7 linked regions of the Xenopus tropicalis genome follow. The protein of the gene in region 4 interacts with the protein of the main gene of each other region in a pairwise test. Links are inferred from orthologs where the notes say so. Each region holds a gene or a part of one and is shown on either strand. Other genes may lie near its edges. The genes, in order: zc2hc1c, hmbox1, rchy1, kat5, apbb1, pih1d3 and pla2g4a.

Region 1 (3,931 bases), on a different chromosome or scaffold from region 4:
GAAATGGAAGAAGACAATTGTTCCATGGTGCTCGTTTAGAAGTCCCTTGGCCAGTACAGGTTTCTGCTGACAGGAGCGTCAGCCCTGAGTATGAGGTATGTGATTATAATCACTGGGGGCGCCTAACATTTGGCTGTCACCATTGATTTTACCGTTCCTTCTCCTTTAATGTGGCCTAAAACTGTAAGTCATGATAATCATATAATCTTACATGTTGAATTATGAACTGTTGTAATCATTTGTGTGGGGAGCTTTCTGTATAAATTGTAGTAACATTATGTTTTCTAATCACAAATTCAGTTTTAGGGCAATGGCACACTGTAAGAATGCTCACCCATGGTAAATCTGAGCTACCATGGGTGACAAACCTCCCTAAGATGCATTCCCACTTAATCACAGAAAATTGCATTTCCTTGTAAATAAGCTTGATCACCGCATACAAACAATCCTAATGATATACAATAGCAAATGGGAGATTTTTACCCAGAGTAGTACAGATTTACTGTGGCTGATGTGTGCCATTGCCCTTAGTAACTAAATCCATACTTAAATCATTACACACACACTGCAACTATTACCATGTTATCATTTACTAGATTCATGCAAAACAAATTTGGGGCTATACTGAATAAGAACATCTCCTGGGTGACAATGATGTTTTTCAAAGATACAAGTTTTACAAAAAGAAACAGACACTTTAATATTACAAAAAGCACAAACATATTATTGTTTACTTGCAGTCCATTCAACGTTAGCGTCTTCGAAGAGGTCGTGGTTTGCTCTTAATATTTTCACATTTAGGGATGTGCCTTTCTGCTACTCGTGGGGCAAAACGACGATTGCAGTGAGGACAAGTTACATAATCTGGGTTTTCCTCAGGTGGAGGGGGAGGCAGATCAGACAGTTTTCCCCCCTTGGCTATAACCTGCTGCACTGTACGTGCATGACGAATTGTTTGCTGAAACGACTCATGCTTTTGCCGCCATGCATTGCTCTGTACCTAATTGGAGGGAAAAAAGAGAAGAATCAGGTGAATCTTGGGGGCTGATTAAAAGAAAATTGCAAATGGTATTATTATTATCTTTTATTTATACTAAAATGATACACAACCCTTTACAAAGAATGTTCATTAGTCATATTGGTCTGTGCTCCAGTGGAATTCACTATATACCTACCACACTTTTGCAATATACATACTAGGTTATATTACACCAAAAGGCAATATATTTATTTTTTTTAGTTTGAGAGGATCTGGAGGACAGGCAGAGCACACAAACTTTTGCAAATTTTGCCTTAGTCAGAATTGAGCTCTGCCCCAGTGCTACAAGGCTGTAGTGCTAACCACTAAGCTGAACATCTACATAACACCATCATGAAAATCAGTTTTCTTAAAATGATTTTCTTGTGTTATGTGTGAAATGTGCATCATATTTTATGCATAAGTGAACTGATCATTAATTAAAGATTTTCTCCTATACAAGTTGTTCCTATTCCAACGACGCAAATAGAAAATATTTCTGTTTTATCTGTCCTGCCACTGCAATCTTAAATCCCCACTCACTGAGGAGATGCCAAGATCTTAGGCATCCCCAGTTCGGTGCTCCTTAGGAAAAATATGCACAAGCCCATAGAGAAAACTAACCGCGCCACGGTGCAATTTTAAGCAGCTTTTACGCTAAGGCCAGCTGGGTGGCCTTAGTATGGATTCTATAATACGGTACACACATATGTCTAATTTGATGATGTCACATGGAAAAGATTGCACTATGTTAGTCTTTTTTCCTAAAAAGGAGCATTGGTCCTGAGACATTTATATTAGCACCCCCATTGAAAGACCCCACCTGGTTCTTTTCATGCATTTCACCTCAGGGGAATGCATAATGAAATGCAGCCCTTTTTTCAAACTAGTTGCGTTCCACCTGTGTTTGGCACATCATAAAACTACATCACTTTACAAAACTAAAATTTAGTGCTCCAGTGCCCGAGTGCAGACAAAAAGAGCAAATTTTGGCAGTAAAATAGGCACATAAGCGTTTTTATGCTGAAATCCGCTCCTCGCAAGACAAACAGAAATACATTTTAGATTCAAGATGCAGAACAAATTAAAGGACAAGTAAAGTTAATTAATGAATAATTATTGGTTATGTAGAGCAGGTCCCCTTGGCCCTCACAGCCCTTGTAGTTCTCTGTTTAACTGCTGAATCTGTGCTGCCATCTTTTTAGCCCTGCAATGTACTTACACATTAGATGGCAGTGCATGTGTATTAGCACCTCTTGAAATGCTCACCCATCAAAGGCCCTAAGGGACAGACAGATGCAAAAGGAGCATTTCAAGCTACAGAGACTGAAGCAATAAAAGAGTAACATAGCAATGAGGGTCAAGAAGAGTAGAAAACCAATAGGCATTAGACATTTTACTTTCCTTGTCATTAAATGGGATTGTAAGCAAATAAAGCTGACCTTAGGAACATTCGGCCGAGTTTTTCCTTTGGTTTGCAAGTATTGCTCAAGCTCTGTTCCTTTGGCTCGTGCTTTAGATGAGTCGAATACTTTTCGATTAGATTTCTGCATCTTTTGACAAACTTGAGTATGCTTTTCCAGACGATGTGCTAGAAATTGTCGTCCACACAAGTTACAGGGAAGCAGCTCTGTTGCTGATGGTTCTGGTGCATCATCCTGAGGCACATCCTTAGGCATTTGCCTTTTCTCTTCTTCTTTGAAATTAGCTGCATATTGTGGGCTTCTACCTCTGTAAACAGGCTGTTCTTTCTCTGTCATGTTGTTTGGAACTTCTTGATTTGTTTGAGGATCTTTCTCCTTAGGCATCAAATTTTGATTTCTAAAATGCCTACTGGACTTCTCTTTTGCCTTTAATGTAAAATCAAGGTTATGCAAATACTTCCCAACCTGTTCATCAAGTTTGCCCATTGTTCTATTTCTTTCTGGGATTCCTTGAACTGTTGTATCCTCCAGCTCTGCCACCTCCTTTTCTCTCTGGATTCTGCGCAATTCCTCTTCAGTTCTACGCAATTTCTCTTTCAATAAAGCTTTCTTTCTACGGATTTCGGCTTCCAAACTCAGCTCGGAGTTTTGCAGTTGGAACCATACTTCTGGCCTGCTGGGCCCTGATTTCAAACGTATATGTTCTTCTGGGTGTGGAATTGTCAGTTTGTTCCCTGCAGAACTAGCAGACTGTGAGCGGTAAAGACTTGTCTCTGTTCTGACACTCCTTTGGTCCTTTGGGTGAAAGACAGGTTTCAGAGGGTGTGCTCTATCCACTCCAGCACTCCGTTTGGAAACAATCCAGTTTGAGGCCCAGTTTTTTTCTTCTGGCCACTGAGCTGTGTACAAACTGGGGGGATTATGATGGACATTAAAATTGCTGCGGGGATTATGACGCAGCTCTTCAGTGTGTAAGGAGGATCCATGAACCTTCTGTGTAGTATGCTCTTGCTGCTTTGTGAAAAGGGTCAATAGTTTCTCCTCTTTTTCCTTACTGACCCTCTCTTGATACTGATTTCTCATTCTTTCAAGCTTGGATAGACTTTTTGGTGCTGGTAACTCTCTTTTTAGCATAGGCAACTTTGTTTCATACATTACTTCAGAGTACTGTACCACTCTCTGTTTAGACATACCAATACCTGAAATGAAAAGTAATATCTGGTGTTGAGAGAAACATGGACCATGTTTTACAGATACAGTGGTGTGAAAAACTATTTGCCCCCTTCCTGATTTCTTATTCTTTTGCATGTTTGTCACACAAAATGTTTCTGATCATCAAACACATTTAACTATTAGTCAAAGATAACACAAGTAAACACAAAATGCAGTTTTTAAATGAGGGTTTTTATTATTTAGGGAGAAAAAAAATCCAAACCTACATGGCCCTGTGTGAAAAAGTAATTGCCCCCTGAACCTAATAACTGGTTGG
Region 2 (4,501 bases), on a different chromosome or scaffold from region 4:
CACCGGCCAAAATGTAAGTCGCCCGTGGGATGGCACGCGCTGCGCAGGCGATTTCGGCAAATCGCCAAAAATCCCTCGCGAGGCGACTAATCTCCCCGTGTGCCAGAGCCCTAAGGCTGTGGAGACCAAACTTGGGACATACCCACCATGGCAGGCAGAGTGATGAGTGTGACAGATGAGAGTGAGTGCAGCTGGGCAGAAGAAAAGTCCATATGAGACATACCAGGGAGGGAGGTTTGAGAGTACATGAAGTGGGGTGAGAGTGCAGGGAAACAGCAGCATGTTAGTGCAGTGCGAGGAGTGCAATGAGTACAAGTATCAGGCTTCACTGGGCAACATAGTAACATACACAGGAATTATGGCTGGAAAACAGACACGAAACCATCAAGTTTAAAGGTTTTGTCCAAATGAAAGCTAAGTGCTAGCTGGCAAGGCAGTGCCTAGGCATCGGGCTGAAGTGTGAGGGTGCAAGTATCAGACTAGGGTGCAGGTCAGTCAGGGTGCAAGGACCGGGCAGAGAGGGAGGCATGAAACAAACATGAGTGATAGAAGCAGGGGTGCCATTCAGCAATGTGTATCAGGGAGAAGTGCTAGGGGCAAGTTGTATATGGGGCAGGGTAAATGTGCGGGGTGCTACAGGGGTGAGTGGGGGACAGCTGTACACAGAGCAGTTGGCACATGGGGAAGAAACAGAGCGCAGTTTAAAGAGGGGACGGTGTACAAGAGTGCCGTATATGTGAAAGAAGTCTGAGAGTGTAGAGTTGCACAAGGGACAGACAATTATGTGAAAGAGAGAAAGGTGAGCGCACAGCTGGGCAGGGGCAATGTCAATACAGAAAGTAGCAGTCAGAAGAGTGCAGTTGGGCAGGGAATAGTGTGAGAGTGCCGAGAGGGGCATCCACACCTGTGCAGTGTGCACTGTCACATACAGCAACATACCCGGCAGCAAGTAAGTGCCATGTCAGGGAGAGTGCAACAGGGTAGCAGCAGCGAGAGTGCACTAAGTGCCATGTCAGGGAGAGTGCAACAGGGTAGCAGCAGCGAGAGTGCACTAAGTGCCATGTCAGGGAGAGTGCAACAGGGCAGGACCAGCGAGAGTGCACTAAGTGCCATGTCAGGGAGAGTGCAACAGGGCAGGAGCAGAGTGAGTGCACCAAGTGCCATGTCAGGAAGAGTGCAACAGGGCAGGACCAGCGAGAGTGCAGTAAGTACCATGTCAGGGAGAGTGCAACAGGGCAGGAGCAGGGAGAGTGCAACAGGGCAGGAGCAGGGAGAGTGCAACAGGGCAGGAGCAGGGAGAGTGCAACAGGGCAGGAGCAGGGAGAGTGCAGTAAGTGCCATGTCAGGGAGAGTGCAACAGGGCAGGAGCAGCGAGAGTGCAGCAAGTGCCATGTCAGGGAGAGTGCAACAGGGCAGGAGCAGGGAGAGTGCAGGGGGTGAGAGGCAACACAGGGTATATAATGTGCCAGGCAGGATGCAAGTTCAATGGGTTCAGCGTGAAACTGCCAGGGGCTTGGCTTAAAAGTTAAAAAAGTGTCAACACAACATAAGGGTGCAGCAAGCGAAAAGAAAAAGGCAAAAAAGTGCAGTGGGGCAGGCACAGAGAGAGTGCAGGAGTTGCCAGTCAAAGTGAGAGGGCAGTGAGTGCAGGATGTGCCAGTCAGAGTGAGAGCAGTCAGTGAGTGTTGTAAGTGCCAGAGTAAGAGAGTGCTGTAGATGCCAGTCAGAGTGAGAGAGCAGTGAGAGAGTGCTGTAGGTGCCAGTCAGAGTGAGAGAGCAGTGAGTGAGTGAGAGTGCTGTAGGTGCCAGTCAGAGTGAGAGAGCAGTGAGTGAGTGCTGTAGGTGCCAGTCAGAGTGAGAGAGCAGTGAGTGAGTGCTGTAGGTGCCAGTCAGAGTGAGAGAGCAGTGAGTGAGTGCTGTAGGTGCCAGTCAGAGTGAGAGAGCAGTGAGTGAGTGCTGTAGGTGCCAGTCAGAGTGAGAGAGCAGTGAGTGAGTGCTGTAGGTGCCAGTCAGAGTGAGAGAGCAGTGAGTGAGTGCTGTAGGTGCCAGTCAGAGTGAGAGTGCTGTAGGTGCCAGTCAGAGTGAGAGAGCAGTGAGTGAGTGAGAGTGCTGTAGGTGCCAGTCAGAGTGAGAGAGCAGCAAGCGAGAGTGCTGTAGGTGCCAGTCAGAGTGAGAGAGCAGTGAGTGAGTGAGAGTGCTGTAGGTGCCAGTCAGAGTGAGAGAGCAGCAAGCGAGAGTGCTGTAGGTGCCAGTCAGAGTGAGAGTGCTGTAGGTGCCAGTCAGGGTGAGAGAGCAGTGAGTGAGTGCTGTAGGTGCCAGTCAGAGTGAGAAAGAGAGGCAAGGGTGCCAGGCAGTGTGTGGCACAGTGAGAGAGTGCAGTAAGAGACAGTCAGGCAGTGTGTGGCACAGTGAGAGAGTGCAGTGAGAGACAGTCAGGCAGTGTGTGGCACAGTGAGAGTGCAGTAAGAGACAGTCAGGCAGTGTGTGGCACAGTGAGAGAGTGCAGTAAGAGACAGTCAGGCAGTGTGTGGCACAGTGAGAGAGTGCAGTAAGAGACAGCCAGGCAGTGTGTGGCACAGTGAGAGAGTGCAGTAAGAGACAGCCAGGCAGTGTGTGGCACAGTGAGAGAGTGCAGTGAGAGACAGCCAGGCAGTGTGTGGCACAGTGAGAGAGTGCAGTGAGAGACAGTCAGGCAGTGTGTGGCACAGTGAGAGAGTGCAGTAAGAGACAGTCAGGCAGTGTGTGGCACAGTGAGAGAGTGCAGTAAGAGACAGTCAGGCAGTGTGTGGCACAGTGAGAGAGTGTAGTAAGAGACAGTCAGGCAGTGTGTGGCACAGTGAGAGAGTGCAGTAAGAGAGTGAGACAGAGAGAGTAGAGTGCAGCGGGGCAGAGTGCAGGAGTTGCTGGAGAGCAGGGGGTGCCAGTACCTTACCTGAGTGCCGAGCAGCGCTCACTCTCTCCCACACAACATGAGTCCGGTTGCCGAGCCCGCAGCCAGCGGGCAGAAAGAGAATGTATGCCAGTCCTATGCCAGTCGGAGTGCCAGTAGCAGCCCTCGGTGCCCGACGCGCTCACTTTCCCCCACCCGCCTCCGGGACTCACATCGGAACCCGACCCGTCTTTGTCTGCCACCCCGCCGCCATGTTGGCACTCAGCAGCGCGCAGCTCCCAGCCGAATGTTTGCGCGGGAGTCTGGGAGTTGTAGTTTTCGGCGCAGCCAGACTCTCCCCGGGGAGCGAGCGGAAGGCGAAAGCAGGAAAACTACACTACCCGGCATGCCGAGCGCCAGTCTCTCTCTTACCGCCCTATCCCGCCTGGCTGAGCGTACGTCACACTGACGCAGCGAGTTATGGGCCGGAGAGACTACAAGTCCCAGAAACCATCGCGTCACCAGAAAAAGGGGCGCTCGGCGGTGAGGCCGGGGACAAGGCAAAGATGAAGCTGGTGAGATTCATGGTTTTGGGTTCTTATATTTTCTCTCATGCCTTTATAGATATGATATGCCCTGGCGTGTCTGTATCCGCAATGTGCTTCCCAAATGGCGCCTTTCCAACCTTTGCCTGAACTACAGCTCCCAGCATCCCCCAACAGTGTTGTAGTTCTGCGAGTAAATAGCAGGTCCTAAATGTGCCCATTCCTCTGTTTTATGTGTGTGGGCTCCAGGTCCTCTCTAGTCCCTTCCCTGACAAAGTCCCTACCCTCACTTAAATATGGCCATCAGATGTACATAGATGTCAGTTTACCCTCTGACAGGGTATTTAGTAAGAGTGGTGCAAAAGTGCAGTAACCCATAGCAGCCAATCTACTTCCATGAGTCTGACCTGCTCTAAATTGATCAAAGCTGATTGGTTGCTATGGGCTAATGCACATGTGTTTGTTGCTAAGGGGTCCACATCCTGTTATATAGTGAATAAAGTACCCCCTATTGTAACATATAGGGATATTATAAGCCCCCGAGGGGTTCCTTATAATATATAGTGAATAAAGTGCCCCCTATTGTAACATATAGGGATATTATAAGTCACAGAGGAGTTCCTTATAATATATAGTGAATAAAGTACCCCCTATTGTAACATATAGGGATATTATAAGCCCCCGAGGAGTTCCTTATAATATATAGTGAATAAAGTACCCCCTATTGTAACATATAGGGATATTATAAGCCCCCGAGGAGTTCCTTATAATATATAGTGAATAAAGTGCCCCCTATTGTAACATATAGGGATATTATAAGTCACAGAGGAGTTCCTTATAATATATAGTGAATAAAGTGCCCCCTATTGTAACATATAGGGATATTATAAGTTCCCGAGGAGTTCCTTATAATATATAGTGAATAAAGTGCCCCCTATTGTAACATATAGGGATATTATAAGCCCCCGAGGAGTTCCTTATAATATATAGTGAATAAAGTGCCCCCTATTGTAACATATAGGGATATTATAAGCCCCCGAGGAGTTCCTTATAATATATAGTGAATAAAGTGCCCCCTATTGTAACA
Region 3 (4,382 bases), on a different chromosome or scaffold from region 4:
CATGGAAATTTACCTTATGGTTTCCTCTGAGGCTCAGTGGTAAACATAAATTACATTTCGTACAATGTTCAAACTCCTCTTTAGGACCAATCCTAAGAAAAAAAATAAAACAGATTTCCTAAGAGAAGCCTATCATGGCAGCATTTGATAGATCAACATGACATGCCATAATGCTGCACTCACTACCTGTCCATGTAAACTATGGAATGCTGGGAACTAAAATAAAGAACATACAACTAGTTCCACAAAGTAGATTAATAACCTTCCTTTCCAACCATTATAATTCTAGACCATACTATTTAAGTTTGGGACTTTTTTAGCACTATAAGGCTACTGTCACACATTCAATTTATCCACCCTCTGCTCCACATATGTAATGACTGACAATATTGTTATCTGCCTCTCAATGTGCAGATTTTGACCAGAAAAAGCATCATGAGCACACTAAAGGTGGCCACACATGTGGCGATTTTTGATCGGTCGCACTAAAGATTGTTCCAATCGTCCACTAAGGTTCAGGGCTGAAACGGCAGATATGGAGGTAGAAACAATAGGATTTCTACCTCCTTCGGCCGATTCAGCTCTGAAGGCAGATTTTGCTCAGGCACCTTCTATGGCGTTGATCAAAATCTTTTAACTCACCCGATCAGCGAGTCGACCGATATCAGCAGCCTCCTGCGATATTGGTCGCCTCGCCGACTTGCCATACACGCATCGAATATCGCACGAAACGAGGTTTCGTACGATATTATCCGTGCGTGTATGGCCAGCTTAATAGGCAGTTTACAGTCCTGTCAAAGCCCACACATTTATAGCAGAGGGTGCTGAATTGCTGTTTTTTCCCACTGGCATTTTTACAATGGTGGTGAGAGCACCATATGCAACAGTAGCCTTAATCTGTTGATATTAAACATACTCACAAACATGGGACAAGTTGCCACCCTTTATCAGACCATAAACGGCCACATGAAGAAGCACCCTATGTAAAGTTACAGTATGTATGGAGTTACGACACATATGTTGTCATAAAAGAGACACTACTCTTCAACTGCTACAAACATAGCAACTATTGTAATGAATCACAGACTAAATTTTTTTGTGCTAGGCTTCAGCTTACCTGCATATACCGCATCCATCACAATGATACTGCTTCTTGTCCTTATCAAATAGATGGCATATATTGCAGTAATAATCACCAAATACCGCATGGCATTGCTCACATGTTTGCTGAGCCTACAACATAAATAAACAAGAAATTCAGACATACTGGGGTTTTATCTTTTTTTCTTAAATGTAGTCACATGTCTTATGCTGTTGAGCTTTTACACCTTAGAATTCCTTGCCATGCAAACAATGTAGCTTCAATGTTATCATATTGTCAACAAGATGGTTAACAGAATTCAGTCAACTGACCTTTTTGTTGGACATGAACCAACAGATTTATTTAAACAGATTGACTTTGGGAAAAAAAAAGCAACTTTGATCTGATCTTTAATATGTATTAAGCACAAGTCATCAGACTCTGAACAAAAACCCCAAGAATAAAAGTTACCTTTTGTACAAATTTACATTTCATGCACTGAACTTGTGTGACATTAAAGCGGTCCATCTTGTGCGATTCTTTGCTGTCATGGCATAGGCGGCAGGTATAAAACTTTCCACAGCAAGGGGCCTGAAAGATAAAATGCTGTATTTATAAAGTACTAAAGCAATTCATTTGACCAGTGTCCCCAACAAGGTGCATCAGCAGATTAGGACAAGGAAAGTCATCTATACTTGCAGAACCCCCCTCTAAAAACGTGCAATCCACATTCCCCAATCTTGCTCCTTTTGTCTGTGAAATATAGTAGAGCTACAGGCATCATGTCAGGCCATTTGAAATCTCTTCTACAGCTTTCTGGCGGTGATCACACACGATGGGCATTCACATTTACAACTAGGACCAGCAACAAAGTCGTACAATATGGAATATATTTAGTTGAACAAAGAGAGCTCCTATATGTTAGAGAAACCATGTTATTCCTTAGTTCCTCACCAAGTGGCAAAGAAAATAAATCTTTAGGCTGTTGCCAGACGTGGCGTACGGCTGATATTTCCGGCAAGTGGAAAAACACTTGGCGAAAATACAGCCCTACGCCTGCTACTTGTGCCTGCACCTGAATGAATGCGATACGCTCGCGTGCAGGCACATGTAGCCGATAAACGCATGAAAACACAAGATAATGCAAAGTCTCGCATTTTCATGTGTATATCGGCTACATGTGCCTGCACCCGAGCGTATCTCATTCATTCGGGTGCAGGCACAAGTAGCAGGCGTAGGGCTGTATTTTCCCAAGCGTTTTTCCGCTTGCCGAAAATAACAGCCCTACGCCACGTCTGGCATCAGCCTTAAGCCATAACCATTTGTTAAAAAACACACATACACAACAGACTACTCGTATTTTTAGGTGTGAGTTCCTATTCACGCTGAAAGCATGAAATAAAGTATCAATCCTGGAGTGGATTATTAATTCTCTTTAGACATAGGGTTGGTAGACAGCTCGGAAATATAAACACTATTTCCAGCACATGTGCTGATTATAGTGGCATTACATAAATAATCTGAAGAAAGGAAAGCTTTGCATGGCATTCTATGGTAAGGGTATCTGGGCTGCTTACTATACAGTGTGCGTGTGTTAGGTGGGGGTCATTCAATCCCACAGATACGTCATATTGTATCAGAAATTGGGGGATACAAAGAAATGTTACAAAAATCCACAATTGTTTTTAAGTAGGATGCAAAATTTTTATTGCTTTTATATAGCTGGCATACACGCTAAATCGCAGCTCCAAGCATTTGGCCGTCTACTTGCAACACATTTCACATTATCCATGACTCGAATAGATCGAGCCACGATCACTACTAGACAGGTAGATGCTAGCAACTACAACTCCCGACATCGCTTCGCATACACTTCCTTTAAAACAGCTGATGGGACTTGTAGTTTGAGTGACGAGCTGTGACACACCAACTTACGATCTGATCTCTCACAAACTCATACGCCCCGCCCCAATTCCCCATACTGCCCGCACCGTTTAGTTCCCAGATCCCTACCCCCTGGCTCCCGAATTCCCTCACCCTTAGTTGGCAGCCCCGACTGTAATGCTCGCAGCCTCCCGTCACCTCCATGTCCTCAGAGGGACAGCCCGAAGCCATAAGTGTGAGCGTAGGAAGCGGAAGCTAGGGGGAGGAGCTAGGGGTGGGGACAGTGCCGTACAGTACGGCTCATACGCAATAACGCGCGCTATTTGTATTTCAGTTTTGTTCATCTCTGACATGATATCGGGGAGTTCGAATACTCGTACTTATTCTGCCTAATCGTTTAGAGAAGGCGCAGAAATGTCCTATTAAATGGACCAGTCACTGTGTCATACCGCAGACAATCCCTGCCTTAAGCTGGCCATACACGTGGCGATCCGACGATGTTTCGTACGACCATCCATCGGTCGCACGAAACATCGTCAGATCCGCCACACACCATTCAGGGCTGAATCGGCAGGTAAGGAGGTAGAAACAATAGGATTTCTACCTCCTTCTGCCGATTCAGCTCTGAAGGGAGAATTTTGGTCAGGCGCCTTCTATGGCGCCCGATCAAAATTTTCTAACTTGGCCGATCGGCGAGCCGACCGATTTCAGCAGCTTCCTGCGATATCGGTCGGCTCGCTGACATGCCATACACGCACCGATTATCGTACGAAACGAGGTTTCGTACGATAATATCGGTGCGTGTATGGCCACCTTTACAGATATGGCTGTCACATTCTCTATAGCTCCTGCCCCGTCTGAAACTACCCTCTTCATAGACGTAGCATGGTTTTTGTGTTTGGGGAAGCTATGTATAAATAATTCTAGAAGGATGATAGCATTTTTCTGAGAATCATTTTTACATTTCTTTTTAATGTATTATACACACCAAGAATAAATGCAATGTCAGATTAATCAATAAAAAAACCAGAACACGTCAGGGTAATTGCAGTACCAGCCCATGATTTTTACTATATCTTCATATATGCTGTATATTTATTGCTGTAAATATAGAGCACCACCCTCATGACAAACTGCTTACATACTTGAAACCTGTAGCCAGAGTAAAAGAAATTGTGAAGGGCAACAATAACTGCCTTTACATTCTGCTGATTCTCACACACACAACTTCACATACAAAATACATTGGCCACGCGCTGGGTTTAGAGGCTCAGACTCCACTGAGCTGTCTCAAATATAAAGCAACACACTTACCAGCAATACAATACCAAGGGGCAGATTTACTAAGACACAAACGCTCTGAGCGTATTTTCGCTGCTTGCGTGACTTTTTCGACGCCCGTGCAACTTTTTCGTAT
Region 4 (4,428 bases):
CTCTACATACAAAAAGTTGAACAGCAATGCTACATCCTATCATAAACACTGAAATTATTTAGTATGTTAGATAAAATAGCACCCAACTGGATGACTTGGAGAAGAGGGAGGAACATGCAGGTATCTTTGTTTTAAAGAGGGCACAGGAAGAAACTGATATCTCCCAAAGCCCAAAGGAGCAGAGTGGCATTAGTTCTGCTAAAGCAATACTACCTGCTACTTTCTGTTGCACTTATTTTAGTAGTAAGGTGCAGGGATAACTGTTATGGTCAACATCATCCCTGCAAGACAGATTGACATGACCAGTTTCTTTGAGTGCCCAAGCACTTACCACCTCTCTCTCAGGGGAGCTTGGTCTTGATCCAGGTAGTCCATTCTTTGTTGGAGTTTTTGCCTCTTTCTTTGGAAATTGAATCTTCTTAAGATCCAAACGATCATGAGTAACCCACTCATCTAATCGCTTGTTAACTGGGGGGATTAATAGAGTAAAAAAGTAAAAAAAAGAGACTGAAATAATTTTACAAGAGAAAAAAATGCTAGCAATAAGAATTAGAAGAGGTTAAAAAATTTTAACTTCTGTGTTTACGTGACAAAAAGTCACATGAATTTTAGGATTCAGATTTGGTTCCACCAGGACTGTGGATTCGCCAAATCTGAATCTTGCCGAAAAAGGCTGAATCCCGAACCAAATCCTGGATTCGGTGCATCCCTACATTATAATATGCAAGCTAATTGATAACAGAATATATGGCATTTTCTAAAAAAAGACATGGACTAGCTATAGCAGAGTAAATGCTACAGACTGACAAAGTGGGCCTGATTTGGCTGGCCAATCAAGAAGCCTGAAAGAAAGTCTACAGAAGGGCTCTGACGACATAGGTGTCTGTGAATCCAACATACAGGAATCTGTGTGCCTGTACATACACAGTTGCCTGTGCAGAGGTCTGAAATATTGCTGCAATAGGTATGTCACTGGTATGGAGGGAGTGTCTTTTATACACTCTTTTGTCACAACTGTCACACCTGTATTGAATAAAAATTTGTTTCTGCATGTGTAAATTGCAAGAGGGCAACTGGCAGCTGATCTAAGCCTGCTGGTGAGCAGCACAATCTTGAATGCAAAAGAGTCAGAAGTGCTGTGTATATGAGGATATAAAGGATATAAACAATAAGCTGCTTTGCTGTTATATGTACAAATGCAGCTTCATCAGCCCCTAGCCCAGCCCGGCTCAATTCCTTTACTTCCCCTTTGCACATGTTTGCTGTTGAGCCTCATGACATGCCACAGCAAATCAGCTTTCACTATGCTCTGTCACTCACACAGAGATTCTGGAGGGTGGCGAATGGGAGGCTGCTTCAATAATTAGCCATAACTTTGTAACAGTGCAACATTTCTAAATGCTATACATTGTCAAAATGTTTGTCTAGATTTTATATTTTCAATATTCTAAAAACATTTTTCATGATTGCTCCCCTTTAAGCAGCTCAAGCCTAGTTTCAGTACATATCATTATTTAAGCCATGTATCCTGCATATTACTATATGTAATATGCAGGATATATGTAATACTAAGTGAAACATTAAACTCCATATTTAAATATAAACTTACAGTCTATATAATGCACATAGAATAGTTTCTTCCCTGTAAGTTCCTTGATGCTCAGAATTTCAGCAAGTGCTAGAGAGGATTAAACAGAGACAAAAGAAGTGGTTACAAAAACGGTATATTTTATTATGAATTACATTTTATTTCTTTGCTTCTTCACAAACCATCTGAATGAAAATTCACCATATAAATAAAAAACACACAGAATTCTACACTCTTGTAAACATAAACAAGTACAGGTATGGGATCCATTTTCCGGAAACCAGTTATCCAGAAAGCTCCGAATTACGGAAAGCCCATCTCCCATAGATTCTGTTTTAATCAAATAATGTAGAATTTTAAAATTGATTTCCTATTTCTCTGTAATAATAAAACAGTACCTTATATTTGATCTGTACTAAGATATAATTAATCCTTATTGGCGGCAAAACAGTCCTATTGGGTTTAATGAATGTTTTTGTGATTTTTTTCTTACGGTATGAAGAACCAAATTATGGAAAAACCCCTTATCCGAAATACCCTTGGTCCCGAGCATTCTGGATAATGGGTCCTATACCTGTACAAGCTATATTTCTGCAATATTTATTACAGTGCGTTTCAAGCTATGTAGTACTTACGCCATTCAACTTCATTATCTTGATTCTTGCGAAGTACAGGCAATCGGCAACCCTCCACAATCTCTGCCTGAAAATCAGTCACGGATAAATGAGAAACGGGCAACTTAACAGTGTATTATTTTAATGGCTGTATAATGTAGTGGCAAATACTTGTTCCTGACAGTTTATGTCCCCTTTAAATAATAAAGTACAACATAAAAGGTGTCAATGTGTGAGATACAATAACTAACAGCACATCTAAAAGGAGTAATAATGAGGAAATAAATCCTAGACAGATCAGCTGAAAAACAAATATAGAAAACCAAATGTAATATGGCTCAAGATGCAGTAATTTGTCTGAGGAAATCCTGACATAACATGGTCATTAATGGGGAATATAAATGGGGAACCTTACAAGCAATTGGAATTTGCATTCACAGCAGCTGATATACGGCCATGCAAGAAGCGACAGCCAATGTTTGGTCAATATGATTAAATGTTTCTATGGCCTCATAATACAGAGAGGTTCTCTTGACATAAAAGAAATGGATAACGCAAAATTCCAGCCCCTTTTCGTATCCTACGCTTTGCATGTAACTATATTCTGTGGAAATATCACCTACAATTGCGCATACATAGCGATAAGAGCTAAACAATAAATCTTACCTCCGCCATGATTTTGCTTTAAAGCGACTTCCTTCTTTCCAGCCTCGCAGCCGCCTCCCCCTTCCTTGACAACCGTATCGAAGGGCAAAGAAGTCGCGCCGGAATAAGCATAGCATTTTTACGAGCCTCTAAAACTCACCTTTGTCCTTGATTTGGAACAGGTTATGAAATTTTAAAGAAATATATTTTTTGTAATAACTGGAGCATACTGGACAAATATAAATATAGTATTAATTACCAGGCATTCGCCTGGGCAGCAATAGCAAAAAGGCGGTAATTGTTTCCCCTTTTTCGATTTGACACGCACCATGCGTTCCAGTGATAGCGATCCGCCCAAAACACTTCCGTAAACGGAGTTACGCATGTGTGTAATAGTAAAAACAGTGTAGTATACAGAGGTTGGTTGCGAATGTGTGTGAAACATTTATTCCCATCAAAGGGGACTCTAAAGGGATGTGGGTCCCAGTAAATTCTGGTTATGCCAATGCCTTTGTTTCTTTTCCTTGATGTGTGTTGTATAAGCAATGGCTAGTGAGAAATGACCTATGCTGTATGTAATGGAAATAAATTACGTTATTGATCATCTGGAACCACAATAGCTAAGGCAGAAGATTAACTTCTGTAACTTTAACACAAATATATAAAATTAATTTCTGATAAGCAGTGAAGTAACAGGTAAGATCAAATGGGCATTGTTCTAATATGCTCTGCTTTACTGTCACCTCAGCTCATGGACTGACAATATACTCTATTTATTGTTGTATATATAAACGTAAGTGAAAGCTGCTTAGTAGCAACAGGCAAAGACACAAGGACCCGGAGGTATAACAACAATAACCCAGTGGTTGCTTGGGAATCAAGAAATGTACAGGCCAGGCAAGGGTTCTGGATAATGCATAATTTCTATCTGTGAGAAACTGACATCTTCCTCAAAGTTTTAATGCCTAAAAAAACATTTTCTTGTGGGACCCAGTGTATAATGAATATAATGAATTTGAAACAACAACATATTAAAGAAATGCTCAGCTTTTTCAGAGCAGATCTATAATCGGACTTTAGAAACATGCTAAAAAGGGCTCAAAACAGAATTAAGTGTTTTTTCTTTTCTAGTATAACTGTTATTGCATTTAATTGCAAGGCTTTGTAAAGGTAACATTTTAAAGCAGAAGCACTGATGAGGTTAAAAGTCCTGCTGCATGCATAGGGTTGATCACCTAATTCCTATCCACTCCTAAACATAAAAAAAGACTATATAAAGAATGTTGTTATGCAACAGAAATTTTCTAACCTGTCCAACTAAACGACCAATTGCCATGGTATGAAAATTGTTGGGACAATAATTCAGAGCCCACAGACAGTCTGAAAATCACACTGTTGGCCAATTTATTAGCACATGTTTCGAGTCACACAAGGACCATTTCTCAAATGGCAGTATGATCTAACTAGAGCATTCCTCTAAGTAACTACAGACAGTGCAAACCAGAGCATTATTTCTATACCTAACCTGCAGGTGGCGAGTGCACAGAAGGAATAGATCAGTAGGACTCAAGCAGTGCTTCC
Region 5 (3,314 bases), on a different chromosome or scaffold from region 4:
TCCCCCCCCCCCCCCCCCCACTATTCATGGTGCATTCACTGGGCTACACTGGGGCCCCTGGTACAAATCAGCCCCCCCCCCCCATAGTCCTAAATGTGCAGCAGAAGAAACACAGATTGGGGGGGGGCATTCACTGGGCTACACTGGGGCCCCTGGTACAAATCAGCCCCCCCCCCCATAGTCCTAAATGTGCAGCAGAAGAAACACAGATTGGGGGGGGGCATTCACTGGGCTACACTGGGGCCCCTGGTACAAATCAGCCCCCCCCCCCCCATAGTCCTAAATGTGCAGCAGAAGAAACACAGATTGGGGGGGGGGGGCATTCACTGGGCTACACTGGGGCCCCCTGGTACAAATCAGCCCCCCCCCCATAGTCCTAAATGTGCAGCAGAAGAAACACAGATTGGGGGGGGGCATTCACTGGGCTACACTGGGGCCCCTGGTACAAATCAGCCCCCCCCCCCCCATAGTCCTAAATGTGCAGCAGAAGAAACACAGATTGGGGGGGGCATTCACTGGGCTACACTGGGGCCCCTGGTACAAATCAGCCCCCCCCCCCATAGTCCTAAATGTGCAGCAGAAGAAACACAGATTGGGGGGGGCATTCACTGGGCTACACTGGGGCCCCTGGTACAAATCAGCCCCCCCCCCCATAGTCCTAAATGTGCAGCAGAAGAAACACAGATTGGGGGGGGGCATTCACTGGGCTACACTGGGGCCCCTGGTACAAATCAGCCCCCCCCCCATAGTCCTAAATGTGCAGCAGAAGAAACACAGATTGGGGGGGGGGGCATTCACTGGGCTACACTGGGGCCCCTGGTACAAATCAGCCCCCCCCCCCCATAGTCCTAAATGTGCAGCAGAAGAAACACAGATTGGGGGGGGGCATTCACTGGGCTACACTGGGGCCCCTGGTACAAATCAGCCCCCCCCCCCCCCATAGTCCTAAATGTGCAGCAGAAGAAACACAGATTGGGGGGGGGGGGCATTCACTGGGCTACACTGGGGCCCTGGTACAAATCAGCCCCCCCCCCCCATAGTCCTAAATGTGCAGCAGAAGAAACACAGATTGGGGGGGGGCATTCACTGGGCTACACTGGGGCCCCTGGTACAAATCAGCCCCCCCCCATAGTCCTAAATGTGCAGCAGAAGAAACACAGATTGGGGGGGGGGGGGGGGGGGGGGGGGCATTCACTGGGCTACACTGGGGCCCCTGGTACAAATCAGCCCCCCCCCCCCATAGTCCTAAATGTGCAGCAGAAGAAACACAGATTGGGGGGGGGGGGGGCATTCACTGGGCTACACTGGGGCCCCTGGTACAAATCAGCCCCCCCCCCCCATAGTCCTAAATGTGCAGCAGAAGAAACACAGATTGGGGGGGGGCATTCACTGGGCTACACTGGGGCCCCTGGTACAAATCAGCCCCCCCCCCCCCATAGTCCTAAATGTGCAGCAGGTGGGCGGGGCTTAATCGGATAGTTTGGCTTTAATCCTAGAATGGCATTGGCAGTGTCCTTAGATGAGGAATTTCTGAGGGAGGGGCAGACCTGAGGCCCTTAGTGGGAGGGGCAGACTTAAACCCCCAGTGGGAGGGGCAGACTTAAACCCCCAGTGGGAGGGGCAGACTTAAACCCCCAGTGGGAGGGGCAGACCTTCAGCACCCAGTGGGAGGGGCAGACCTTCAGCACCCAGTGGGAGGGACAAACCTAAGGCCCCAGTGGGAGGGACAAACCTAAGGCCCCAGTGGGAGGGGCAGACCTAATGGGAGGGTCAAAATTGAGGGGCAGGGGCAATAGCTATGGGGCAGATTCTCACCATGCAGGCCGCTTGCACAGCCTCGGACAGATGGGGGCAGGGGCAATAGCTACGGGGCAGATTCTTACCATGCAGGCCGCTTGCACAGCCTCGGACAGATGGGGGCAGGGGCAATAGCTATGGGGCAGATTCTCACCATGCAGGCCGCTTGCACAGCCTCGGACAGATGGGGGCAGGGGCAATAGCTATGGGGCAGATTCTCACCATGCAGGCCGCTTGCACAGCCTCAGACAGATGGGGGCAGGGGCAATAGCTATGGGGCAGATTCTCACCATGCAGGCCGCTTGCACAGCCTCGGACAGATGGGGGCAGGGGCAATAGCTACGGGGCAGATTCTTACCATGCAGGCCGCTTGCACAGCCTCGGACAGATGGGGGCAGGGGCAATAGCTATGGGGCAGATTCTCACCATGCAGGCCGCTTGCACAGCCTCGGACAGATGGGCCGCGTTGGGTTCGCACCAGAACATGTGACACACAAATTGCCCCGGGGCGTCGGCCATGATGAAAGCGAATGTGCGAACGTCCTGCCCGACCCCCATGAACGACAGGAACCGGACCCGACACTCACTCAGCGGCTCCTCCGTCTGTCAGAGACACAGGGGGGTATAAAGGGGTGGTTCTGGCAGCACATGGGGCAATACTGACAGGCTGGGGGGAACACAACACATTGGGCGCAGGGAGGGGTCCCACAAAGAGAAACAAACGGGGCCAGTGAGTGGGCAGGGGCAATACAGAGACAGGAAGGGGGCAATAGAGAGATGGATAAGGGGGCAATAGAGAGACGGGTTAGGGGGCAATAAAGAGACAGGTAAGGGGGCAATAGTGAGATGGGTAAGGGGGCAATAGTGAGATGGGTAAGGGGGCAATAGTGAGATGGGTAAGGGGGCAATAGAGAGATGGGTAAGGGGGCAATAGTGAGATGGGTAAGGGGCAATAGAGAGATGGGTAAGGGGGCAATAGTGAGATGGGTAAGGGGGCAATAGTGAGATGGGTAAGGGGGCAATAGAGAGACGAGTAAGGGGGCAATAGAGAGACGAGTAAGGGGGCAATAGAGAGACGAGTAAGGGGGCAATAGTGAGATGGGTAAGGGGGCAATAGAGAGACGGGTAAGGGGGCAATAGAGAGATGGGTAAGGGGGCAATAGAGAGATGGGTAAGGGGGCAATAGAGAGACGGGTAAGGGGGCAATAGAGAGACGGGTAAGGGGGCAATAGTGAGATGGGTAAGGGGGCAATAGAGCTGAAGGAGACAGGGAACGAAGTAGAAGGAGGGGTAAAACCACAGGTGGGGGGGGCAGTAAGGGGAGAATAGGGGACACCCCGGGGCCCATACAGACCTGTTGCCGGGTGATGGTGACAGTTGCAGCCGCCACATTAACGGTGACAGGAATCCAGTCGGCTTTACTCCTCGCCAGTGCAGTCTGCAGCATCTTGTTAATCACCTCCATCCCTGCACAGAAAGCATCCAGTCTCTCACTGCCCATAGTAACACCGCCTGCC
Region 6 (4,587 bases), on a different chromosome or scaffold from region 4:
TCTGTGACTTCTGATTCATCCCAGATATTCCTCCTGTCTCTGCCCATTTCTGAAACTGACAGTGAAAGAACTTTCTTAGTATCCCATTTTTTGTTTCATAGAGGACCTAGCATATGAATAGTTAGCTTTAGGGTGAGGAATTAAATATCTCACAAACTGTAATGAGATAACTTAATGGAGTATTTAACCTTTAGTATGTTATAGAATGTCCTTTTCCACAACAACTTTGCAATTAGTCTTCATTATTTATTTTTTTATAGTTTTCAAATTATTTAGTGCCCACTTCACCTTTTTAGTTTTCCAGCAGTTAAAAAATATGTCCTTTGTGAGGTTACAATGTTATTGGTATTGTTACTTCTTATTCTTTATCTTTCTATTCAGTCCTTCTCTTATTCATATTCTAGTCTCTCATTTAAACCACTGCCTGGTTGCTCAGGTAAATAAAACCCTAGCAACCAGATAGCTGCTTAAATTCTAAGCTGGAGAGCTGCTGATCAAAAATCTAAATAACTGAAAAACCACAAAAATTAAAAAATGTAAACCAGTCACAAATTGTCTCAGAATATCACTGTCTACATCATACTAAAAGTTAATTTAAAGCTGAACAAGTTTAAGTTTTATCCTACTTAGGTCAAGCCAGAACATTCCAAATAAAATGTAATAATCAATATATATGGGAGTAAATGCAATGTGAAGCGCCTGTTTGTAAAAAGACTCTCCATCTTCAAAATGAAAGGGTGGAGGTTTCCAACAATTTGGTTTATATTTCCATTTGTTTGACTTCCCAAATGACTATATAGTAATGAATTGCATTCATGTAATATGCCATTTTTAGGCAATTACTATCCCCACCTGGCTCATGGCTCCTTGCAGGTCCAATATCTCCTGGCCCAACACATGCTGCTAATGGACCCTGTAAAGAACATGTAAGGTGAGACTGTGAAAAATCCCAAGTGTCCCAGTTTTAGCGTGGTTTTGTCCAGTGGTGAGGAGGGTTGGTATGTCCTACCATCGGTTTCCCCTCTTGGGCAGCTGAGACCTGAAAAGTTAGCTGGTTCTGCCCTTTGTTAAGAAGCGGATCCACCATGTTGTTTGGGGCATATAAACAATGAAGAGAGGTTATTTAAAACCCCTTCCCAGAAATATATGGTTTACCAAGTTTGGGACTTCCCCAAGGATGCTGCAGAAATAGCAATTAAATTACTGGGTTTTATTCACTTGGGAGTACACTTTGGCATCTGTATTTTACAAAAATATATAGGCAATGTGGGAGACCAGATATGAAATTCCTGGATGCTGACACCCTGATCAGAAGTCTATCTTTCCATACTTTTTTAAGTGCAATAATATGATTTATCACAAGAGAGTGCCCTATATAAGTTAATATTTTCATATTTACCTCATGCACACTCCTACAATGTTCATCTGCTGATAATGGCACAGTGCTAATTTCAAAGGAAAGAAGCCACAGTTCATGCCATTTGTCAGATGCTTTCTCCATTTCTAGTCAATATGAACACATTGTTAATGATCTGAAATCTATTAGACAAAATGACGAAGGGGAAGAGTGCATGGAAAACAGGATGAGAAAATTAGCAAATGTACCCAATTCACAATTACACTAAAATTAGATTTTTAGATTTTTGGAGCTATTTAGGGCTTTTTCAATACAAAGCAAATGCCTTAAATTTCCATGAGCCATATTAGATAAGTGGTCCACTACATGGAAAAAGACAAGACTGCTCAGTGCAGTCTACTAACTTACAACACAGTGGTGCAATGGTTTGCACTGCTGTCTTGCAGCACTTGGATTCTAGGCTCAATTTCTGCCCCTGGGCAATCTGCATGGGTTTTTTCCAGGCACTTCAGTTTCCTTAGACATTCCAAAAACATACAATCAGAAAAAGTGGATCCTGATTAAACTTTCCATAGTTTATGTGAATGTGATAAGTACCTTAGACTATAAACTCGACTGGGGCAAGGACTGATGTGAATGATGTATAGGTATCGGACCCCTTATCCGGAAACCCATTATCCAGAAAGTTCCAAATTACGGAAAGGCCATCTCCCTTAGACTCCATTTTAATCAAATAATTCACATTTTTAAAAATGATTTCCTTTTTCTCTCTAATAATAAAACAGAACCTTGTACTTGATCCCAACTAAGATATAATTAATACTTATTGGAGGCAAAACAATTCTACTGGGTTTAATTACTGTTTAAATAATTTTATTAGCACACTAGCAGGTAGCAGATCCGAATTTCGGAAAGATCCTTTATCAGGAAAACTCCAGGTCCCGAGCATTCTGGATAACGGGTCCCATACCTGTATAATCTCTGTAAAGATTTGCAGAATAGAATATGTTGACACTATATAAAGAATAATGAATAACTTACCCTACAGTCACCTTCATCCTCTTCTACGGAAGGGTTGAGCAGGGAACACAAGGCATCCAATGACCCAGCAGATGTAAACTCACCCAGTGAGAGTTCCATATTCAAACTACGGCCAGAAAACAAACTAACATATTACCGCAATGATGCACTTTAATGATAAAACAATCCATGATCATGCTTTGGCATTAGTTTTATAAGCACTTTTTCAGTTCTATTTATCCTCCCATATAACTTTTGTAAACTATATACATTTTTTGCCTCTTTCTTTAATGAACATAATACTGACCCACCCCAAACCCAATATTTAAGTCCCAAACTACTGATTAAGAAGCTCTTCATGCTCCCACATTGTTGCCCAGAATTAGGCACACAACAACATTATAAAGATATAATCTGTATTAACAGAATAAATAAACGAAAACCCCTTCAAATTGCTATTTATAAGTCAGAAAGACGCATACTTGCTTAGTTTGTAGTTGTACTCCAGTTCTTTTTAGAATTGATACTTCGGTTTCCATGGAAACACAGTCGCTCCGCCTCTAGGTTTAGTTGTTCGCACAAGTCGCCTGAGTAAAAGCCCCTCGGAAATACGTCATGACAGTGCGCCTGCGCCATGCGTGCGTTCCAGCTTGTCAGTGGGCTCTGTATGATTTGGTTTCCCGCTCCCCCGGAAGTGCCAAGCAGGAGTGCTGAGAGAAGAGTAAAGGTATGATTGCAGTTGTTTTCATTCACTTTCTCATAGTAAGACAGGTTTTAGGCATGGGGTATTTATATGTAACACTTGGTTCTAAAAAATAACTTGTGTTATCATTAGTAGCTGTGTATACGGCTGAGGAGTGCTTAGCAGCATGGCTTTCGTGTTTTGATAGTGAACAACGCAGTTGTCACCAGTCAGACTTAGTAGCCTCAGATTGCCCAACCCTAGACTGGTTATTTTAGCGTGACTGATTAAACATCTGTATTTCCCAATAGAGACGGTTTATAAAGCAATATTACAAATGTTAGGGAATCAGATTATCACTCCCTTACGCATTTCTGCTGTTAGAATGCCATCTTGAGAATGGCAAACCAGTAGCCAGATCTTGTAATGTTTGCCACACATATTGTAATATCACCCACTGTGACCTGCAGTACTAAATACCTTCCTATTTGTGCCTGTCAGTTACCCTTCCATTTAGATTGTAAGCTCAAGGGGACAGGAACCTCCACCCTCTTGTCTCTTTGACACTTAACTCTGTGGAGTCTTTAATGCAACTGTACTTAGTTTTTTATTTGTATTTATGATCGTACTTAGTATTTATTATTGTAATGACCCCTTGTTTGTTCTGTTAATGCATTGTTCCACTGTACAGCGCTGTGTTCATTATAAATAAAGACATACATACAAAGCTATGGAATTTTGTACTGTAGTCAAACTTTCCAAGTTTAATTGAATCCTATGGGGATTTAATACTCAAAATCTTGTTGTTTTACTGAGACCAGTTTGCCAGTCTGGATGGGAATGAGTAAAATCATCACCAGCAAGTTATTTCCTATAGGTTCAAGCAATGGAAATTCTGCCTATATTATTTTTATTATTATTATTATTATTATTAACAACACCACATAATTATAAAATGCCAATATGTTCCACAGGTGACCATACACTGGGCAGATTTCTGCTGCAGATACGGGACCTTCAGACAGATTCAGCAGCATATCTGCCCGTGCATGGGCACCCCCGATGGCCCTGCCCGACCAACATCTGCTCCGAAATTGGCTAGATCCCAATTGGGCATGTTTCATTTTCCGTTGGATCAGGTACCACAGTGCCTTGTAGATATGGTCCTCAGTCCGATGTCACTTTTGCCCACCGTTTAAGTTTAGTTGTTTGGCTTTAGGTTGGATCTTCTCCAAATATGCAAACTATTTTACAGTGTATGGCCACCTTTACTAAAGCTTAATTTTTTAACTAGGTTCTTTTTTTTCCTGCTTTAGAAAAGTACTGTCTAGCCCCCAGAGCTTTAGAACAGGATTTAAATGTCACTTTAGTGTCTCTTTTATCCACAAAAAGTTTAAATAAATCTGCACTTATTTTCTTCCACAGAATTGACCACTATGAGTGGCTTAAACTTTGGTGCTGCCTCTGCTGGAGGATTTAGCTTTGGGACACCAAAAACCAATACTACAACTGCTACAACTGGCTTTTC
Region 7 (3,931 bases), about 82 Mb from region 4:
GGTCACTAGTTATTTTACCTGGTTTTATCTTGCCCAGACAGACCAGTTGGGTTACATCTGTTTAATTACTAATGAGACCAAACTGACCTCTCCTAATTTTACTCATTCTGATCTGTTCTGGGCATAAGGAACATTGTGTTTCATATAAATCCTTCACAGATAAAACACACCTTGTGTTTGTATAATTAACTCACCATCTGCTGATTTTACACTCGAGTTTTATGCAAAAGTGTTAAGCTGTTTAAGGTAGACTATACCTTCATTTTTTATTTTCCATTTGAGCTTGTTTAATGGAGTTATTAAGAGCTGTATAACTTTGCTTCTCCCTGTAATGGCGACAATGCAGACTTCACAATGCAGACAATGCAGCTTGTGGCACATAATGCCTGTGCCTGCACCCAGGATCTCCCACTGATACAAACAAATAAAGGCCAAAATAGCTTACCAGAGCTGTAGCTTGTTTATAAGTCAATGGAGATGGACATGGGAGCTTTTCAGACAGCTAAAATATTGTATCTGCCAAGAGCTGCCTGTGCCATTAGTCTTTTCTATCCTGTTTTATGCTTACTTATTACATCTCATAAGTGTCTGTAGTAACATAATTCCTTTGCAAAAGCAAAAGGGACAAGACCTACTAGTTCAGGGTGTAGTAAACCCAATTCTGCTGAACAAGGTTGGCTTTTTTAAAGGACAAAAGTGTGTGTGTCCATGTGAGTGTGTATGTGTTTTCTGTAAATATGGTAATGTTAAATCTGTGTTTGAATTGCTGCCCCTTTTAAGACATACAGTAGTTCTTGGAGCATGCTGATCATTAAGCTAGGCATAACACAGCCAAGCAGCAAATGAAGGGAAAAGTACAAAGATAAATGCCAGTACATCCAGGCAGGACTGGAACACTTTATGTGATGACAAAGTATATAGTGTCAGACTGGTGGCCCCTGGGCCCACCAGAGGAACGGACCTCCAGGACTCAGCCAACATCGCCCACCTCTCCTTGTAGATGCAATAACATAATAATAATAATAGGTGGCTAAGATTTTTCTTTATGTATAACGCAGGGGTAGGGAACCTATGGCTCGGGAGCCAGATGTGGCTCTTTTGATGGCTGCATCTGGCTCGGTGCCAAATCTTTAATAAAAAAAATAACGGGGGCTTGGCCTGTGCACAGCGTATAGAAGACGTGTTCTAAGCCTTAGAACATGTCTTCTATCCGCCAAGCGCAGGCCATGCCCTCCTCCGCATTCGGCATCCTTGGGACCCACCCTACCTTGTCCCTGCGCTCGGCGGATAGAAGACGTGTTCTAAGCCTTAGAACACGTCTTCTATCCGCCAAGCGCAGGCCACGCCATCCTCCGCATCGCATCCGGCATCCTTGGGACCCACCCTACCTTGCCCCGCCGCATCCGTGGCCAAACATATTGTATGGCTCTCACGGAATTACATTTGAAAAATTTGTGGTGTTTATGGCTCTCTCAGCCAAAAAGGTTCCCGACCCCTGGTATAACGGGTAACATGTTTCTTTCTCAGTATTGTTTTTTATTATCTTTAGTGAAAGTTTAATAAAATTTTAAAGATTAAATGTTATCTTTATTAAGATTTTTTTTATGTTTCTTTGATTCAAAAGGAATTCAGACATATATCCTTGTTATTTCAATGATGATAGTATTTCTGCTGACTCATTGGAGGTCAATTTTTTATTCTGCTGCTGTACAAAATTCCCCACTGAAGCACGCAGCCTTACTGTGTTAGGAAACTGAGATGATCATAGCGCTCTTCATGAGTGTCTGTTTTTAAAAAAAAAATCTTACTTTCCGATGAGGATTTTAAACATTCTAAACATTTACTTCCGTCAAAGGAACTCCTACTTGCTGAGAAATGGGCAAGGATGAATAAGCTGCCCTTTCCAAAAATAGACCCGCATGTCTTTGACCGAGAAGGACTGAAGGAATGCTACATATTTAAACCAAAAAACCCATCAGTAGAAAAAGATTGCCCCACCGTCATTCATTTCGTCTTGGCTAATCTTCAGTTCAGAAACTTTAAGGCACCAGGTAAGATTGGCTAAAAGAAAAAAAAGCAAACTGTTCTCCCCATTCCTTTTTCCAATTACCATTGTTTAGTAGGTGTCAACAGTGAACCATGGTTATTAGCTGTACAAAACATAAGATGGGTCTGATAAACCCATTTAATAAGTGACCTTTCTTGACAGCAATGACACACGATATCTCAGTGCATGCCAGAAAGCTATTTCTCACGAACTGATACATCATATACAATTATATACCAGAATATTCTATTGTATGTAGTTCTGGCTTTTCATGTTGTTTTAATTGCAGAATATCACCACTGTCCCTCTAGGGCAGGGTAGGCTGCAATTTTCTCAGGAATGCCCTTTTCACAAATGTTGGTAACGCATTGGGGACTATTGTGAATACTACATTAAACCTCATTGTTGTTTCTTTTTAAACCCCTTGCATTTCTAAGTATTAATGCCCATATTAAATGATTGCCCTGGTACTTAATACCCTGTGAAAAATATGACAGATAACATATCCGTGTCTGGCTTAATAAATGGTCACTAAACTCAAAATACAAGGATCAATATGCAATTAAAGCTTGTTTAAATGCTGTACATAATCTTGTTATCTTCTTAAAGGACATCTGAATGCACTTATGTAAAATGTACAATGTGCAAAAGTTTAACGACTTTGGCATGCAGTGTGCTTGATTGACACCAGCAGAGCCAATCAAAATACCAGGCATACAATTTACAGGAAGTCAAATAGCACTCTGCATGTGACTGTCACCTAAAGCACACCTGTGTATGGATGTTGCTTAAAAAAAACTTAAAGCCTGGAAAATGGATTTTCTAACACGCTAATAGCATTGTTGGTGGTTTAAAAAGATTTGGACATTGAAATTTGAATTGCCAGTTAGATTAAACTTTAGAACATATCCTAACAGATTATTATTTACCCATCATTTGTTTATAAAATCATAATGTACAGGGTCATTATGGGAGTATGTGCTGGTTTCTTCAGTTTCACGTCCTCAGAAAGCTACTTTTCCCAACCCAATAACTAGTAATTCAGATTACAAGGTGGAAATGCAGACCATTGGAATTGCAGTACAATTACAATATATACACTTAATTAGATGCAGTGGTCCAGTTTTCCATTTCTGATAATTACTATTGAAGCAGTTGTGCTAAATGTTCATTAGTGAAATAGATAAATGCTTCCTTACATGAATATCTTCAGGCCATCACCAGAGCAGCACCCTACCTATGGAATACATTACCCTACAACATCAGACATTCCCTACCCTACAGAGTTTCAAATGTTCTTGCAAAACTCACATCTTCCATGAAGCTTGCACAATAACCTGTTGACTACTAGTAGCTCCCTTACTCACATTCATTTTTGTACCTAAGTATCACTCCCACATGAAAGAAGACATGACATACTATGCAATACTATGCAACTTTAAAATACTTGAGAGTGGAAAGAGTGGCATTCCTAGACTGTGTGGGGCCCCCTGCAAAAAAAACTTTGGAGGGGTCCAGTGCACAAGGCAAGCACTACCTGCCCCTCCTATTGGCCACCTGCCCACCCCTCAGAAGAGCAGTGGGGAGGTGGGTTTGCTAAAGCTATTGAGGAAGCAGAGCCTGCGGTCCAGGCCCCTGTCCCCCTGTGCCCCCCATGGCTGAGGAGTCTGGTTCCTCTATAGTTATGCCACTGAGTGGAAGCATTAATATTCTGTACAAATATTTATTAAATCCGGCTGCACTTAGTCTCATGTATATCTGTTCACCCAGTAATGTTCACTCCAATCATGGAATTGTGTGCTAGTAAAGCTGTGGTGACTGCTTTACTCACAATGTAAGGTTTAGGAACTAGTGAGGTTCTATAGGGCTGGCTGCAATCAAGCC

The links.
Region 1: the proteins of kat5 (region 4) and zc2hc1c interact in binary tests that used the Homo sapiens proteins (3 or more experiments, as listed by UniProt). The link is inferred for Xenopus tropicalis from reciprocal best matches to the Homo sapiens genes KAT5 and ZC2HC1C.
Region 2: the proteins of kat5 (region 4) and hmbox1 interact in binary tests that used the Homo sapiens proteins (3 or more experiments, as listed by UniProt). The two-hybrid records come from large-scale screens. The link is inferred for Xenopus tropicalis from reciprocal best matches to the Homo sapiens genes KAT5 and HMBOX1.
Region 3: the proteins of kat5 (region 4) and rchy1 interact in a two-hybrid assay, tested with the Homo sapiens proteins (2 studies listed by BioGRID). The link is inferred for Xenopus tropicalis from reciprocal best matches to the Homo sapiens genes KAT5 and RCHY1.
Region 5: the proteins of kat5 (region 4) and apbb1 interact in binary tests that used the Homo sapiens proteins (3 or more experiments, as listed by UniProt). The link is inferred for Xenopus tropicalis from reciprocal best matches to the Homo sapiens genes KAT5 and APBB1.
Region 6: the proteins of kat5 (region 4) and pih1d3 interact in binary tests that used the Homo sapiens proteins (3 or more experiments, as listed by UniProt). The two-hybrid records come from large-scale screens. The link is inferred for Xenopus tropicalis from reciprocal best matches to the Homo sapiens genes KAT5 and DNAAF6.
Region 7: the proteins of kat5 (region 4) and pla2g4a interact in a two-hybrid assay, tested with the Homo sapiens proteins (2 studies listed by BioGRID). The link is inferred for Xenopus tropicalis from reciprocal best matches to the Homo sapiens genes KAT5 and PLA2G4A.

The regions. Positions count from the first base shown.
Region 1 is NC_030684.2:82,259,071-82,263,001, reverse strand, and holds the end of zc2hc1c (zinc finger C2HC domain-containing protein 1C), read right to left. Parts: intron 3,642-3,931; coding exon 2,461-3,641; intron 1,001-2,460; coding exon 752-1,000; 3' UTR 575-751; downstream 1-574.
Region 2 is NC_030681.2:151,880,449-151,884,949, forward strand, and holds the start of hmbox1 (homeobox-containing protein 1), read right to left. Parts: upstream 3,140-4,501; 5' UTR 2,933-3,139; intron 1-2,932. Other genes in the region: ints9 (integrator complex subunit 9), read left to right, coding at 3,436-3,444. UniProt on the Homo sapiens protein: Binds directly to 5'-TTAGGG-3' repeats in telomeric DNA. Associates with the telomerase complex at sites of active telomere processing and positively regulates telomere elongation.
Region 3 is NC_030677.2:79,548,331-79,552,712, reverse strand, and holds the start of rchy1 (RING finger and CHY zinc finger domain-containing protein 1), read right to left. Parts: upstream 3,202-4,382; 5' UTR 3,197-3,201; coding exon of another isoform or gene 3,170-3,196; coding exon 3,119-3,169; intron 1,673-3,118; coding exon 1,553-1,672; intron 1,234-1,552; coding exon 1,118-1,233; intron 93-1,117; coding exon 14-92; intron 1-13. UniProt on the Homo sapiens protein: E3 ubiquitin-protein ligase that mediates ubiquitination of target proteins, including p53/TP53, TP73, HDAC1 and CDKN1B. Mediates ubiquitination and degradation of p53/TP53; preferentially acts on tetrameric p53/TP53.
Region 4 is NC_030680.2:37,908,412-37,912,839, reverse strand, and holds the start of kat5 (histone acetyltransferase KAT5), read right to left. Parts: upstream 2,886-4,428; 5' UTR 2,878-2,885; coding exon 2,869-2,877; intron 2,291-2,868; coding exon 2,224-2,290; intron 1,679-2,223; coding exon 1,610-1,678; intron 469-1,609; coding exon 332-468; intron 1-331. UniProt on the Homo sapiens protein: Catalytic subunit of the NuA4 histone acetyltransferase complex, a multiprotein complex involved in transcriptional activation of select genes principally by acetylation of nucleosomal histones H2A and H4.
Region 5 is NC_030678.2:180,027,826-180,031,139, forward strand, and holds part of apbb1 (amyloid-beta A4 precursor protein-binding family B member 1), read right to left. Parts: intron 3,265-3,314; coding exon 3,152-3,264; intron 2,401-3,151; coding exon 2,224-2,400; intron 1-2,223. UniProt on the Homo sapiens protein: Transcription coregulator that can have both coactivator and corepressor functions. Adapter protein that forms a transcriptionally active complex with the gamma-secretase-derived amyloid precursor protein (APP) intracellular domain.
Region 6 is NC_030684.2:38,692,319-38,696,905, forward strand, and holds the start of pih1d3 (protein PIH1D3), read right to left. Parts: upstream 2,962-4,587; 5' UTR 2,860-2,961; intron 2,505-2,859; 5' UTR 2,498-2,504; coding exon 2,399-2,497; intron 914-2,398; coding exon 853-913; intron 56-852; coding exon 1-55. Other genes in the region: nup62 (nucleoporin-62 C-terminal-like protein), read left to right, coding at 4,496-4,587. UniProt on the Homo sapiens protein: Plays a role in cytoplasmic pre-assembly of axonemal dynein.
Region 7 is NC_030680.2:119,503,690-119,507,620, reverse strand, and holds part of pla2g4a (cytosolic phospholipase A2), read left to right. Parts: intron 1-1,855; coding exon 1,856-2,051; intron 2,052-3,931. UniProt on the Homo sapiens protein: Has primarily calcium-dependent phospholipase and lysophospholipase activities, with a major role in membrane lipid remodeling and biosynthesis of lipid mediators of the inflammatory response.